Regions from separate parts of the Mus musculus genome. Here all the other regions are reported to be linked to region 1. Evidence: microRNA targets listed by miRTarBase, many of them from high-throughput screens and not tested one by one. Region 1 holds a microRNA gene; each other region holds the end of a gene's coding sequence. Distances are between the middles of the regions.

Region 1 (4,068 bases):
AGAATAGAGCATCAGCGTAAGAACTGGTGGGGCCATATTTGGTCCATAGTGCACATCCTTATGAAATTCCAGAGGAGTGAGGAATAGACAGTCCTGAAAAGTTAGGAACATGAATAAAGGGCTGCTTGCAGGGGCATGAATGATCTCAAAACAATTATTACCACAAAGTCTCACCCCATTGAGGATGATGACCTCATGGAAATTACGTCATAGAAGCCCTAGACTATCTCCTATTACAATGAACCAATTCTAAATATCCTTTTATAGAAGCGTTTGTTACAGGAATAGTTGACACAATGCACTAATTTTTATTAATCTGTTTCATGTGTTTATACTCCTACTAGGTGAAAACACTCTAAGATTTTTATTGTTCTGCATTGGCCATTGACATTTTTATTTAGTTTGATCATCAACCAAATATTCATTGATCTGTTACAGTGTGCTAACTGCATTATGTTCTTGGCACAGAAGATCTACCTGTGCAAAGCAATTTGTGGTACCTATTGTGAGTCTTACAGTGAGAAACACAAAACAGAAACATGAGCTAGTGATGCTATTTACCAGGCTTCACATGGAGTAGTGTACCAGTAAGGGTCCTGCTCCTGCCATCTGAGATGTGAACAGCTATGGGAAAACTGGGAAAATGTACCTCAAGTGGGGGGAGGGGACCTGGAGAGAGCCCTCTAAATGGTAGGATCAGAGTCAGTGTGGTAAGAAATGAAACTGGGGAGGAAGTTAGAGGTCAGGCTGTGCAGCAGAGCTACATAAACTAGATGAAGTAGTAAGGGTTTATTTCTTGTATGACACATTATGTTTCAAAATCAAATGACTCAGATTTTAGGTGTGGGTAACAGGAATTTAAAATTATGGTTATATTATTAGAGAAGCCAGTATTATGTCAAAAACTCACTGCAAAGCTCAAGCTCAGTATCAAACTGTAGTATTAAAAGTCATTGTGAGGACTGTACACTGCCTTAGAAATGGGCTTCTAAATGAGCAACAGAAATAACACTGTAGCCCTGATGATTGTAAGGTTTACATACTGATTTCTAGCAGGATGAAAATAATATAGAAGCCCTCTTTTAGTTTTTAATTCCTCAATTATTTATTTATTTACTTATTTGGAAAAAGTAAACTATTTGGGCGTGGGAGAGATGGCTCAGTAGCTTAAGAGCACTTCCTATTTTTCCAGAGACCCTGAGTTCAGTTCCTAGCAGCCAGTCCTATAGGGAGGTCCCAACTACTTGAAATTGTAGCTCCAGGGCATCTAACCTTTTCTGGCCTCTGAGGATACCTGCTAACTCAACATACACTCTCACAAACACACTGTAGTAGTTTGAATGAGAATAGCCTCCATAGGCTCAGATAGTTGAATACATAGCCCAGGTTGGTAGACCAGTTTAGGAAGGATTAGGAGATATGGTCTTGTTAGAGGAGGTGTGTGATTGGTATGGGTTTTGAGATTTCAAAAGCCCAAGCCAGTTCCCAGTTAGCTCTCTGCCTCTTGCTTGCTAATAAGGATGAAGCTCTCTCTCGCCTACTGTTCTAGCACCATGCCTATCTGCCTGATAGTCATGGGTTCTAAATCTCTGAAACTACAGGCAAGCCCCTAAAAACTCTTCTACAAGTTGCTTTAGTTATGGTGTCTCTTTATAGCAGTAGAAAAGTAACCAAGACACACATTTACATATATATAAAATATAAGTAAATATTTAAAATAAATTATTTTAAATGATTTTAACTGACAATAAAAATTGCACATATTTGTTGGGTATCATGTAATATTTTGATACATTTAAATGTTGTGGAATGCCTAGATTGATTAATCATATCTATTTCCTTAATAATTTAAGTAGTTTAGTTAATCCTGAACTCTATACAGCAGAATAAAAACTTGAGCTACACATACACACATACACACACACACACACACTGAAAATGTAATAAATTCTAATGGTAATTCAGATTTACCAACATATTACTTTGGGGTTGGGGGTTATAATTACTATCATGACTAAACCTAATTATGGATTCTTCCGTACTATTTCACACTAATCACCATCATTTCAACTATATATTTTGAAAAGATATATTTTGTGTATGTGTATGTGTCCTTGACCGTATGTATGTTTACCATGTGCATGTAGGTTCAGATCCCTAGAAACCAGAGTTGCAAGTGGCTGTGAACTGACCTCTGGATGTTAGGGACTGAACATGCATCCTCTCTCTACAAGAACAGCCAGTGTGCCTAATTGCTGAACCATCTCTCCAGTCTTTAGCTAGATTTGTATTATATCACCTGTTTGAATCCATGTGAAAAGTTAGTAGAGAATTTGTTCTAAATCATGTGTGCTATTTACATAACAGTAGGAAAGTCCTTTTGGTTTGTGCTGTTAGTGTGTACTAGGGATTTTTTTTTTCTAATTGGAGATAGGGTTTTATGTAGTTCTGGATGGCCTTGAATTCATTGTGTGAATTGTGTAGCAGAGGAAGACCTTGAACCCTGATCCTCCTGCCTTTACTTACAGCCAATACTTAGGTTATCTATGTGAAGCACTATGCCAGTTTATAAGGAGCTAGGAAAGAAACCTAGAGCTTTGTGCGTTTTAGATAAGTATCCAACTGCACTGTGGCCCCAGTCCTTGCAATGGAAATCTTGTTAGTGCAATTAGGTTCTAAATTGCTTTTAGAATCATTTTTAAAAGCTTTTTACAATGAGATTATGTGTTTATGATAATTTATCCCTAATAATATTACTGATATTTGTACTAAATGTTTTTGCTACCTATTATATTTATGTTTATAAATATATAAACATTTCACGCCCATTCCTTCTGGAATGTGGATCTTTTTTTGAGATTTTTGTGCACCTATGTCATCGTACTTTGCTCAGACTCCCTCACCCCATTCATTCCCTTTGCTTTTGCATCCTCCTGCGTATCCCCATTTTTGCTCTATTTTTTAAAAATAAATCTAGATTCTGCATAGGGAGGAAAAATATGTCTGTTTTATTACATTTAGCATGATCATATCCAGTTCCATCAGTTTTCCTGTCATTTTTCCTGAAACTTTTCAGTGAATTGGCACCTTTCTTTCTTATCTCTTCCAAAAGTAATTATGAACAGCAGCCTTGCCAATGAAGCTCTAGGAACCAATGCTGTTTTTTCAACAAGGCCCAGTTCTGTAGTCCAGGGATTCTCAGTAGCTGTGGAGTCACAGAGTTCTTTGGCAGTCTGGTTAGGCCTGTGGACCTTGAGCAAGAAAATATTTTTAAATATAGGATGTACATAAGGCTACGTAGTAAACTAATGATATTGGAATACATTGATCAAAGCAAATAGCCAAATTTATGACATTATGACATATGATTCTTTATTAATATATTAATATAGTAGATAGCAAAATGTGTTAGTAAGTCTGATGACTACCTCAATGCCAAAAGTAAAAAATATAAATAGTATTTTGAGATACAAGCACTGCTTCCAGAGTGACTTAAAATATTTGTAGTACTTATTAGTGACCACTTAGAAATAATATAGTATATTCTTACCAATATTTATAACTGAAAGCTGATAAATTCCATTAGAGTTTCAGAGGAATAGATTATTTTTCTATCTTAGCTCACAGATAGTGAATTCTCTCATTTCTATCATCCGAAACAACAGTTTTAGATACCTTTCTTTTCCTGTAACGTTATAACTGGCTAGGAGAAATCTTAATCAAACCTTTTTCGTGTGGTTTCTGTGTGTTTCTTTGGCAGATAACATTTGTGTGTGTGTTTGTGTGTGTTTCATTGTTAATCTCTGTACGAGAGCAAGAGTTGTGTTTAGTTTTATTTCCCATTTTTCTCCATCCCAGCATGGTATGCACTGTACATACCATATATACTCCAGTGAACAATATAGGATACTGGAAACCAATAAAGAATCGTGTAAGAATAGTAATTATTGGTCTACTGTGTATTCATGACAAACATCTGTCAGCATTTATGCACATAAGAAGTAAAGGTTAATTAATTCATTTAGTCGTGCTGAGGATTGAACCCCAGGTGTTGTACTTTCTGGGCAA
Region 2 (4,068 bases), 120 Mb from region 1:
GATACAGAATTACCACAAGATTCTACCTTGTTCTTCTTTTAAAAAGAGGGTCACAAAAGTGTTTTTGGAGCCCATTATGAAAAGCATTGTCCTTCTGTATGTGCTCCCAGTCTTTTCTTTGGATCTAGCCATTATAAAGAATCTCAGAGTGCATGTTGGTTTGAGACCTGACTGACATTCCAGGAGGATCACCTTTCATCTGAACCTCTTTTTCACAGGTGCTCGTGTGATTGCTACAGACTTACCTGAATTACTTGGAAACCTGCAATATAATATTTCCAGAAACACCAAAATGAAATGCAAGCATCTGCCTCAGGTCAAAGAACTATCCTGGGGAGTAGCATTAGACAGGAATTTCCCCAGGTCTTCCAATAACTTTGACTACATCCTGGCAGCAGATGTTGTCTATGCCCATCCGTTCCTGGAGGAGCTTCTCATGACCTTTGACCATCTCTGCAAAGAAACTACCATTATACTCTGGGCTATGAGATTCAGGCTGGAGAAAGAAAATAAATTTGTAGATAAATTTAAGGAACTGTTTGACCTGGAAGAAATTTCTAGTTTCCCTAGCCTGAATATTAAGTTGTACAAAGCTATGAAGAAAAATCGGAGGAGTGCCTAGTGCATTGTGACTGTGAATGAGGACATGAGTGTGGTGCCAAGGTAGTTTTTAGTAAATCATTACCTTAAAGAACACACACACACACCCTACTGTGAGAGTAAAAAGTAACTCTAAACTTACCTTATTAGAGGCAAGGGTTTTTACATACACACAGTAGGTGTAGGATAAAGATAATTTGTTCTCAAATCTGTCTGTTCAGCCCTCAAATTACATTCAGCAACACCACACTATTCTCATTGCAAAGATGGAAATTTTCAATAATGATATCTCTAACTGAATGTTATTAATTTTATTTCGTTTTGAAAATTATAGCTTAGATTGGCCTTGAACTTGAAATCTTACCTCAGCCTCCTTAAGTGTTAGTACTACAGGTGTGTACTACCACACCCATCCAAGTTGTTAATCCTCTTAAATGTAGGTTTAAATGATTTCTATACTTAAAAGAAATCAATAAAGTGGCTCTAGAGAAAATAAATCTGAAAAGGCAGTTATATGATGTCTATGGTTCCCAACAGTCGAAGTTTAGAGGTGGGCTGCCATATCTGTTTAGCAGTTTGGACCGCTGGCATAACTACTGAATAAACCAACATGTGGAGCTAAGGTTTCAAGCAAGGATATTTTCCTCTAATAGATTTAAAAAATGTGGATGTACAGAGCCCAAGAATACCTCAGATGAAACTGGACTCTGGTGGAGCATGCTTTTAATCTCATAACTTGGGAGGCAGAGGCAGAGGCAGAGGCAGAGGCAGAGGCAGAGGCAGAGGCAGAGGCAGAGGCAGAGGCAGAGGCAGAGGTGGATCTTTGTGAATTTGAGGCTAGCATGGCCTACAAAACAAGTTTCAGAATGGCCAGGGCTACACAAAGAACCCCTGTCAAGAAAAACATATAAATAAAACAAAACAAAAAGAATTCCTGAAATTATTGTGTTTTTGTTTTACAGAAAATGAAATAATTATAAGAACTTTGGGTTGGAAGTGCATAAAAAGATTGAAGTTCCTAATCTCCAATAAGCAATCATGGCTTGTTTTAAGGTTTAAGGCTCTTCTGATAAGCACAGATATACCTAGATATTTGACATCCTCTTAGGCTTCTTTATGTGGCCCTTTGGATTAGAATTAGGTTTAATGCAAGATAAGTCAATGTGGAAAGAGTAAGGAGTTAGGCCTTTATAACATGCTACTGTCTGGATTGTGTTGGTTGGCAACACTTCAGTGTCCTCTGCTAGGCTATCATGTGCACTTGGTGACACTTGCTCCTCTGAAGTTAGCTCTGTCCTCTTGGCTGAACAACATCATGGTCAAACACTTCTATAATCATCTCCTGGATCCCATACTGTAAATTGGAATGCAGATACGCTGCTCTTAGTACATGGAGTTTCTTAGGAACATGTCTCAACAGGTATCTGCTTGAATGGATATTTGGTCTCACATTTATGTAGTGTTCAGCCTGCACAGGACAGTGACATGATTATTCTCACTTCACAGATAAAAAACAAAAGCCTAGGTTACACAGCTGCACAGTGAAATTTAGGACAGTCAAGCCCAGGTTTGAGCACAGTGTCTTCCTTTATAATGCCTTTATGCACTGAAAAAGTAACTTTCAAAGACTCTTAAACAGCTGAGGTCAGTTCTTCCAAAGGAAATAGATACTCAGCAAAAATTAACAAATACATATTAAAAAAAATAAGACATATTTCTTTCTCTTAACACTATCTCCAGACTTTCTACTCATGGTAGGAGACATCAGAGAAGGCTTGGGTAGAAGAAGGTGCACTAGAAGGGATGAGAGTTGTGTTTATCAAGGAGGAACAGCCATGATGGAATCTACAGGCAAAGGCATGCTTATCTACTTGAATAAACATCAAAATAGTGTGGCAAAGGGGGAGACAGAGATATTGATGAGGTCTGAAGAGAGGCTGTAGGAAGTAGATCATGGAAGCCCTGTTCTATGGGCTAGGGTTCCCAAATCCAGGTTCTAGGAGAGAACATGATGCATAATAGTTAGTTAGGTTGTACAAGCATAGGTTACGTTATACGGTCATTGGTTAGAGTGTACGATGATTAGGCTGTGCAGTTGTGATGGAGAATTGAAGAAAATAACAAAGGGCAGTTTCTGCTGACCCATTCATTGCTAGACCTTGAATGGCCTGCTTTGGAGATAATTTTGGTTAAATGCATCCATGTCTGATCCCTGATGTCTAAGTCATATAAGCAAAGAATTTTCTGTACAAACATATGGTACTATTGGTGGGATAGGGTGCATTAAATGACCTTAGAATTGATTCATTCTGGGGTCATATTAACTCTATCATTAAGGGTTCATTGACTGCATTTGGCATTTACTTGGATGGTGTGTAACTGTGTAGTATTTTAAAAGCCAACCATTTACAATTGACTGTTTAGTCTATTGAACTCATCCTTAGCCTGTAACATAAACATTGTTTTCATTGGGTAAACCCAAAAGCAGGGATTCTCTCAATCCATGCCTCAGTCTTCCCAGTTTCTTTGATTCTAAGGCAGTTGTTTTCTATGAAATACAATCAAGCTTCAGATTTAGCACTGATCAAGAAATTTTAAAGAAACAATGAATTTATCAAATTGGCAAATGGATGGATCTGGAGGATACCATCCTGAGTGAGGTAACCCAATCTCAAAAGAACACACATGATATGCACTTACTGATAAGAAGATTTTAGCCCACAAGCTCAGAATACCCAAGATACAATTCACAAAACACATGAAACTCAAGAAGAAGGAAGACCAAAGTGTGGATACTTCGATACTTCTTAGAATTGGGAACAAAATACCCATGGAAGGAGTTACAGAGACAAAGTGTGGAACAGAGACTGAAGGAAAGACCATCCAGAGACTGCCCCACCTGGGGATCCATCCCACATACAATCACAAAACCCAGACACTTTTGTGGATGCAAACAAGTGCTTACTGACAGAAGCCTGTTATAGCTGTCTCCTGAGAGGCTCCATCAGTGCCTGACAAATACAGAGGTGGATTCTCATAGCCTACCATTGGTCTGAGCACAGGGTCCCCAATGAAGAAACTAGAGTGTCCCATGCTGTTTCCTCACCGGCAAGAAAGCGCACGGGACACAAGAATCCTTCTGCAGCCAATCTTTATTGCATATTGATGAAGAAGACAAAGAGCCTCAGAAAGGCGCTGCTTAAATACCCCCTGGTGTGGCGTGTCCAAGCCTGACTGGTTGCTTACCCACGATCTCAAGACACGCCCCGGGGGTGGGCTTGTGACTTTGGCGCGCATTACTCCTGCACATGTGCACACAGTTTGTTCTTTGTTTAGGTGGTATAAGGCACTGCCGAAGCCGGCGCCATCTTGTGATGGCAAATGTTATCTCGGCTCTCCACACTAGAGAAAGTACCCAAGGAGCTGAAGGGGTTAGCAGCCCCATAGGAGGAACAACAATATGAACTA
Region 3 (4,068 bases), not on the chromosome of region 1:
TATTTTCAGAAATGTAAAAAGGTTCAATCTGTAAGAGCAAGGTTTCACAATTAAGACAATTCAGAGAGTAGAGTAGCGATTGCTGCACAAGCAGTCTTTGTGTCTGTCATTTAAGAAGGCTGCCCTTGCAGTGTTCATAATTCATTGTTTACTGCAAAGGTGGTAAGAAATTTAGGCTTTAAAAATGATCCGTGAGTTGATACTTTGGCTCTTTGGAGCTTACGTCGTAAAGAAATTTTCCTTGATTGACCTCAGGATGGTTGGGGCTATGGCGATAGAAAGCTCAATTGCTAAAGACACTGGAGTGGTGTAGGAGGCTGTGGCCATTTCTCACCCTTTGGTATGAAGGTGGGTGCCTATGTGTTGCCCTTCTGTCATCAAGAGAAAGTGCTACTAAGAAAACTTTAAAAAATTATCAACTCTTTTATGCTTGATTTTTTTAAAAATTTGGAGGTATTAAAACATTCCTCATCCATACCTTTTTGCATATTTTAAATAGACCCATATTGGAGATGAGAGTTAAAAATGAATGTGGACTGTATCTGATGAAGAGACAGGTGGGGGCTGGCTTGGCTCCCCCTTTTAATACACACAGATCTACATCCCTACAAGAAATACATTCCTACCATACATTCTGCACCATACCACCAGGATGTTATTAGAGTGCCACAATAAAATAAATATATTTACACAGAAAAAAAAAAAGAATAAATAACTTATGGGGAAAACCATCCCTTTAAGTCTCTCAGGATTCTGCTCTCACCTTGTCACGTCATTGCACGTCATTGTCAACAAGCTTGTCAGGCCCAGGCACCCCAGGCTGTCTGCCTGGCTCGGATGCCACAAGACTGTCTTTGTGAAGGTGAGCCACTACTGCCAGGAAGCGTCTAGAAGCACATTCCCCCACTCAAACTGGGACTGGGAGCTCTCACTCTGGTTCCAAACTCTTCCCTGTTGGGACATGGCTTAGTATAAATAGGACACAAAGACAGTCTTAACTCTTGGTGGGCTTGCTCTTCCTGAAAACAGGGCCATTGGCTTCCCATGGATGTTTCAGGAATTAGCACTCTGCCTGCCGGTGTTGGGGGTGGGTGTTTTGATTTTGAAGCCCAGCCTTACAAATGCACTAGAGTTTGAGAACCAAGTTTGGGCAATGCTTCTCTGTGCTTATTTGAACTGTTGCCCAACATATGGGATTGTTTAAACACATGATTTGCTAATCCAACAAAAGTACAGTTGTTCTAAGTTACTGTAAATCAGTTTTTGACAATGGCAATCAACTGCTTTGTGCCATTTTTGCTGGGAATCATCAACACTACTGTATATGCACATGTATGCAGATGTGTGTGGCATGTGGCCAGTTCACAGGATCCTCCAGTTCTAAAACACACAGAGTACGGGCAGACCTGCTCTCTACAAGACAGACAAGTTCTTAAGATGGACAGGCACAGAGACACTTGCAAGTGTGCATGACAACCTCCCCTACGTGTGGTCCCTGCCCTACAAGAAAGGAGACACACGCGTGAAGGGGCTGGTGAAAGGCTGGAGGTGCCTGTAGGAGCACAGCTGGATCAGCCTCCCGCTGCTCCAGAGCTGACAGTCAGCCTGTCAGACACATTCCAGTGAAGAAAAGGTAAAAAGATATTAATCGCACCATCCACAAATCTTCTGCTTGGATGAGCAGTTCCTTCATCACAAATGCATTTGCTTGCCATGTGCATTATAAAAATAAATCTATTTATGGCTTGTTTTAAAGTGCCATTTATAAAATTTATCTTTTTAATTGGCCAGAAAGGCCCATTTTATCCATGGCAAGAAGTGAGCAGAGTTGGTTGGTGACTGTATATTGACAAATGACCAACAAAGACAACCAAAAACAAAAACAAAATCCCATAATTTAAGTTTTTTTAAATAAATATAAAAGTTATTTCTAAAGAAGCCATATAGGTTGTAACCTGCACTCAACAGCTCAAATACCACACTGCAAGAGCGAGCCATGAAACAGAAAGGCGGTTTCAGCAACAGGCCTGATACACTAAAACAAACGACTGCATCTCATGAGTGCACGTGTTGGGGGGATCACTAAAGAAAGAGCCGCTGGAGGGGCTAGCACATGGGGGTAGGGGAAGGCCAGAGACGTGCATAGAAATTCCTCTCTATGTATTTGGGAATAACAGCTTTGTAAAGTGTAGTTAAATTAGCAGTTAATTAAGGAAAGCAACCAGATTGGACACCATGACATAAGGCGGTGGACTGCGGCTCTAGTCACAGATGTCAGGAGAGCGAGCGAGCGCGTCCCGGCTGGCGGAGGTGCGCAGAGCTAGCTCACTGTGCTGATCAGAAAGATGCCATTTGCAGCTCTTAGCAACAGAGGGAACAAAAGCTCCAGGGAAAGGACATGGGAGAGGCAGCTCAGCAACACGATGGATGCCTTCTGGGGAACTAAGTACTGAAGTGGGGCTCACCTCCAGCAAAAGGTCAGTTGCTTGTTGTAAAATTTTGTTGTGTAAAATTGTGGTCTCGTCATAAAAGCTATGCCAAAAGACAAAGACTGGGGTTTTCATTTCAAAAATTTAAAATAAAAACAATTAAAATAGCAACTTGGCATAAATACAGTTTTGTTTTGTTTTTTATCCCCCTGTTCCCCCTCCCTCCCCACCCCCACCTTGAGACAGGGTTTTCTCACTGTATAGTTCTGGCTGGACTGGAACTCACAAAAATCTGCCTGCCCCTGCCTCCCAAATGCTGGAATTACAGGGGTGTGCCACCACACCCTGCTGAGTCCACTCTTAAATAAGATGATGCAGCCTCTGTTCAAAAGAGGGAGCTAAGGAGCCTGCCACATCAACTCCGCCCTCCCTACCCCAAGAAACACAGCCATCTCCCCGCCAACTGCTTAATGCATGTTTGATGAGCAGACAGGGCTCTGGCTTTGGAAGTCACAGTGCTGGCGGGTGACCGTGCCAGGGGCTGGTGCTTGTGAAATTTGGGTGTCAGATCACCTGGCCCTTTATGAAAGCGCTGTGTGTATTTGCAGTGGGGACATCAACTGCAGACTGACGTGATCCAGTTCTCTCTTGCACCACACACATATAAAACATTACAAGTCCTATAAAAGTACAAGTGCAACTTGTACATCTCATGTTTGCAGGAACTATGTGAGCAAATCCTATCAAAATAGCTATTTCATAGGTATAAACAGCATTTGTGTTTAGAAAAACAATATCATAAACTGCAGAATCTGTACAAAAATATAAAATAAATTTGGGCAGCAGTTTTCTAAACAGCCATGTAAATGCAACACTTACGAGTAGTTAATGCCTCTAAAAAGGCTGAATTGCCAAGTCAACTTACACAGGGCAAAACGCCAGAAAAGGTACTGAGATTATCCAAATAATATAGATATATATTCTTTTTTTTTTTTACCTCTTGCAATAAAACTTATAGAAAAAATAGACAAATATGCACATGCAATTTACAGCTTTTCCAACTTAATCCTTGTGCTTCACTTGAACTGTTCCTGTTCACCTTTCAACATTAGCAACACAGTCTTCAAATGTCTTCTCTCCTACGCCAGGGCAGCAGGGCTCTGAGGAACCCACTCAGAAGAGTGTGTTACAAGTGGGCATACTCGAATGAAGGCACTCCAACTCTGCTTGAAGAAAATACTAGTGTGATCCTTTTGTAAAATTTTCTTTTTCTCTGAAAAAGGCAAGCAAGGGTCCATGCACAGTGCGGAGAAACTGTCGGGGCTGCAAGGGTGCAGAGCCTGGCTGGGCGCAGTCACGTGGGCCCAGGTCTCAGGAGCCAACAAGCACCTCCATGATGTGGTCCAGCTCCGTGAGATCCATTTTGAAAGGCTGACTTGGGGCAACAGGCTGATTGCTGTAAGGAGCCAGGGTCTTGAGGAGGTCATCAGCTGACACAGGGGCCATCTTTGAGGCTGTCCCCGATGCAGATGTGCAGGGGTCAAAATCGTACATGGATGTATCAATGTCAGCAAACAAGATGTCATCCAGGGTCAAGTCTGTCAGGAAACCCGTGGACGTTGTTATTTCAAAATTCCCA
Region 4 (4,068 bases), not on the chromosome of region 1:
ACTTCCCTCACCGCCATGAAGTAAAGAGCTGTTTGCGCTTATGTCTACACAGTCTCGGCTCCCACTTCCTCCTCCCCTCTGCTTCTGTGCTCATCTCCTCTGAAACCACTGCAGCAAGTGACTTGTGTTGACTGCCACACGGAAACTCTCCTCAGTAGCAGGCAGCAGAGCAGAGCTCTGTCTTCTCGGAGCTTCTTCTCTCTTGTCGCCATTTTCTCCCACCCTTAAGTACCCTATCTTCTCTGTCTCTGCTTGTTGATCCTTGGACCCTTTTCCTTTCTATGAACAAAATATCTCCTTAAAGGATCTCTTCTAGTTCAGGGTCCCCCCGCCCCCACTGTGGAGAAAACCCAGGGCCTTGCACATGCTCAGCAGGAGCTCCATCCAGTCTCTAGCTCCATGACTTAAAGCATCTCTGTGCTGTCAAATATACACTTCCAGCCCTTACCAAAATATTCAGTCAACTCCTTGCCATTCAAAATGGATGACCTCAAAGCCAGAGTCAGCGGTGCTATGACTCCCAGATCCATCCACTTGGTAGCCCAGGAATGAACTCATGGGACACTTCCAACAGCAAGACTGGATGCTACTAATTAGCTCAAGTGACAGAAATAACTCTAATTTTTCCCAGGCAAAATGGGGCGTGTGATTGTCCTGTATCAGAGGGACATTGCCATTATAACATGTTTAAAGAGCAAATCTCCCAACCACCCTACAATTGTTCTGCTTCCTGGCTCGGTCAAAGGCACCACCCCTACCCATTTCTCACAGGAACTTGGAAATTAAAAGGACAAATGCCATCATCCTTGAGTCTGTCGTTCTCTTATCCCCTGTGGTCTAGCCGCAAATTCTATGACTTTGATCTGCACCCTGGGTAGGCAAACTAACCAGCCTTCTTTTTTTTTTTTTTTTTTTTTCGTTTTTGTTTTTATTTTTGTTTTTTGAGACAGGGTTTCTCTGTATAGCCCTGGCTGTCCTGGAACTCACTTTGTAGACCAGGCTGGCCTCGAACTCAGAAATTCGCCTGCCTCTGCCTCCCAAATGCTGGGATTAAAGGCGTGTGCCACCGCCGCCCGGCCATACTTAGACATAATTAAAACTAAAATTAAAATCTTTTAAAAAAAAAGTCAGGGAATGCCTGGCAGCGGTGGCACACGTCTTTGATCCTAGCACTTGGGAGGCAGAGGCAGGTGGATCTCTGTGAGTTCAAGAGCAGCCTGGTGTACAAAGGAGGTCCAAGACAGCTAGGGTTACACAGAGAAACCCTGTCTACAAAAAAACAAAAGGAAAAGGAAAGAAGGAAGGAAGGAAGGAAGGAAGGAAGGAAGGAAGGAAGGAAGGAAGGAAGGGAGGGAGGGACGGAGGGAGGGAGGGAGGGAGGGAAGGGAGGGAGGGAGGGGGAGGAAGGGAAGGGAGGAGAGAGTGAGTGAGTGAGTGAGTGGAGAAAAGATGGCTCATCAGTTAAGAGCACTTGCTGCTCTCTCAGTGACCCAGGTTCGGTTCCCAGCACCCATATGGTATACCAGAAATCTGCAACCCCAGTTTCAGATACTCTGACGCCCTCTTCTGGTCTCCATAGCCATTGAACACGTATGACACACAAACATACATTCAGATAAAATACTTATACACACAAAATAAAAGTAGATAGCAGACCTCTTTTCTCTTTGTGTGGTCCTAGAGCTGCAGGTCCTGTACTCAGCTACTGATTCCTCCTCCTCCCTCCTCCTTCCTCCCTCCTCCCCAGCCTCATGCTCTGCTCATCTTGGACTTCTGCGCATGTCCTCAGCCCAGACCTTCTGCTCTTGCTTCTCCTCTCCCCAGCAGCCCCCCAGTTCTCTTCCTGAAACTTCTGAGGTACTCTCCATCACCTCCTTTGGCTCCTGCTCTGATTGGTGTCACCTGCTGGATAGGCTTGCTCCTGACTCCACTGTTCGTGTCTCAATTAGGGACCCTCACCCTCTGATATACCACACATTTCCCTAGTGTCTCCACCTCCCACCCCCACCCTATACGCACATACACACTTAGCTGCATCAGGATCCTACACCAGGGACTTCTTACCCTTCTAATCCTCCCCACCGGACACTGCCCAGGGACACTGGGGCTCCAGAGGGCTATTGCCACACGGACACACAGGAGATCTCATCAAGGAGATGTGCCTACCCCAGAGGGTAGCTCTCACCATTCACAAGCACACCACTTCTGCCTCCAGCTTCTACTCTCTCGCAGGAAGTAGCCAGCCCGGTGCCAAGTATCCCCAACTACATCCCCAAAATTCTCAGACACTGCCAGCCTCCAGCTGTCAGCCTGGCCCCGGCTGGCGGGCGCCTGCTCCTGGCATAGCGACTAGGGTGTAATTAGAAACCCGCTAGCTCCCTAATTGCCAGTTCTGAGCTGTCCTTGTTACCGGCTGCCCGAGGCACACATAGAGGAAAAGGCTGAGAGCTGAGCCAGGCTGGCATGGAGGTAGCCCTAGTAGACCTAGAGAGGACTGGCATGTGGCCAGGGACCAAACGTGGCACAGAGAGGGCTCAGTGCAATCTGCCCCGTGGGTGCCTCCCAGCCACATCCATTTGCCCAGAACTGTGACGTCAAACCAGCCCGGCCCATTCATTCTTTATTCAGGTGGCATAAAAATCACTACAAAAACTTTACAAAAGAGTCTTGGGAGCTAAAGGGTCCCTTCCTTGCCTCAGTCCCCAAGATTCCTGGCAGGGGAGGACAAGAGAGAGAAGAAGGAGGAAGACTCCTGGCAGTGTTGGCATCTCCAAATACCAGAGGGGTGACTTGGGTGACAGGACACAGGTTGGGGACCTGAATGTCTTCAGCAAGGGACACTCTTGTAGGGTAGGTCAGCCTCCAACCATGAAGTATAACACCAAGGCCAGTCTAAGCTTGGGAGACCAACACTTGTCTCTCCTTTTCCCACCCAGGGTGTCTGGAATATGTCTAAAGATGGCCTCTCCAGCCTCTGCTTACAAATGTGGAGGGACCCTAAGTTAGGGACTTGCCTAACCTACCTCTAGCCAAAACTGTGTCCACAAGTGCCAGCCCACAAAAGATCACCCCCTGAGCCCCTTGGGAAGAAATGAAGATTCCCCATGCCTGCCTTCCTCCAGGCCCCACCCCACCTGCTGCAAGAGAACAGCTTCTACACTGGTGATGGTCCTTCCGGTCCCACCCTATCCCACAAAGCTGGTTAGAAAGAGTCACAGGAGCTGAGAGGCTGATCCAGGTGGGGACTCAGGATGCTGCTGCCCAGGGCCCCTCCTCACTTGGGGGAGCTGAACTGGGGGTAGTCTTCCTCCATGCGGGGTGCAAGTTTCAAGTCAGGACCAAAGGTCTTGCCTCCATGGAAGTCAGCTTTGTCATTCTGGCCTATGAGCCTGTTGTCAGGGGAATCTCGCTGTTCCTGGAGCTGGGGCAGCGCGCTGGGGTTAGGGTTCCTCACACTGCCCACAAAGAGGGGCACGCCTATGGTGTCCTCCATGATGAAGAAGAGGAAGGGTCGGTTCACAGTGAAGGAGGAGAGGGACATTCGATTCATGGCTACGCTGGTAGCTGCGGCTGCCTCCACACCAGCCTCGCTGAGCTCCATGGTAGACTGATGTTGCACGCTAGACACCACCAGATTCTGCTCAGAGATCCCACGAAGGTCTGGGCCCTGGAACAATTCCTGCAGGCCTGCCCAGAACAGCAGATGACTGGTCAGTGCTGCCCCAAGGCTATGTGGATCTGTCTAGCATCCTGGCTAAAGGGAACACTTGAACCCAGCGGTTGATTGGAATCTGTTAGACCTCAGTCTAGACAACACTTCTAGAAACCTTTTTTTTTTTTTTTTTTTTTTTTTAAATCAGGATCTGCGCTAGGTACAGGACAGAAAGTCTAGAGGAGCATATCAAATGCTCCCATCCAGGAAGCAGGGCCACCTCTGGCTCAGGCACACTGGCAGCTCCCGTACTCTGCCCAGACCACCTAGGGGCACCCTATCCCCAAGCTCCTTACCCAGTTGGCTGAGGGTGGCCACCAGGTCCAGCTGCTGTTGCAGATGGAGTTTAGGCAGCC

Evidence for each region. The annotated mature microRNA mmu-miR-1927 reads GACCUCUGGAUGUUAGGGACUGA and lies in region 1 at 2,190-2,212, shown strand. An mRNA with a match to its seed (bases 2 to 7 or 8) in the 3' UTR can be bound and repressed. Matches are read on the target gene's strand: a 7mer-m8 pairs with bases 2 to 8, a 7mer-A1 pairs with bases 2 to 7 and ends in A, and an 8mer does both.
Region 2: miRTarBase lists Mettl21e as a target of mmu-miR-1927. Seed matches in the 3' UTR shown: 7mer-m8 at 1,411-1,417.
Region 3: miRTarBase lists Sertad2 as a target of mmu-miR-1927. Seed matches in the 3' UTR shown: 7mer-A1 at 3,424-3,430.
Region 4: the mRNA of Serpinf2 is a reported target of mmu-miR-1927. Seed matches in the 3' UTR shown: 7mer-A1 at 3,021-3,027.

The regions. Positions count from the first base shown.
Region 1 is chr1:160,294,029-160,298,096 of GRCm38, reverse strand. It overlaps Mir1927 (microRNA 1927), which reads left to right and starts at 2,125; the gene lies at 2,125-2,233. The region is part of intron 19 of Rabgap1l (RAB GTPase activating protein 1-like); the gene reads left to right.
Region 2 is chr1:44,202,904-44,206,971 of GRCm38, reverse strand. It overlaps Mettl21e (methyltransferase like 21E), which reads left to right. Exons shown (of 5, transcript NM_207281.3): 5 at 219-2,902. The coding sequence ends at 622. Among named protein-coding and RNA genes, the nearest start is that of Mettl21e, 14 kb to the left of the region's middle.
Region 3 is chr11:20,648,468-20,652,535 of GRCm38, reverse strand. Sertad2 (SERTA domain containing 2) reads right to left here. Exons shown (of 2, transcript NM_001038625.1): 2 at 1-4,068. The coding sequence ends at 3,801. Among named protein-coding and RNA genes, the nearest start is that of Sertad2, 19 kb to the right of the region's middle.
Region 4 is chr11:75,429,129-75,433,196 of GRCm38, forward strand. Serpinf2 (serine (or cysteine) peptidase inhibitor, clade F, member 2) reads right to left here. Exons shown (of 10, transcript NM_008878.2): 9 at 4,009-4,068; 10 at 2,608-3,687. The coding sequence ends at 3,275. Among named protein-coding and RNA genes, the nearest start is that of Gm35391, 6.9 kb to the right of the region's middle.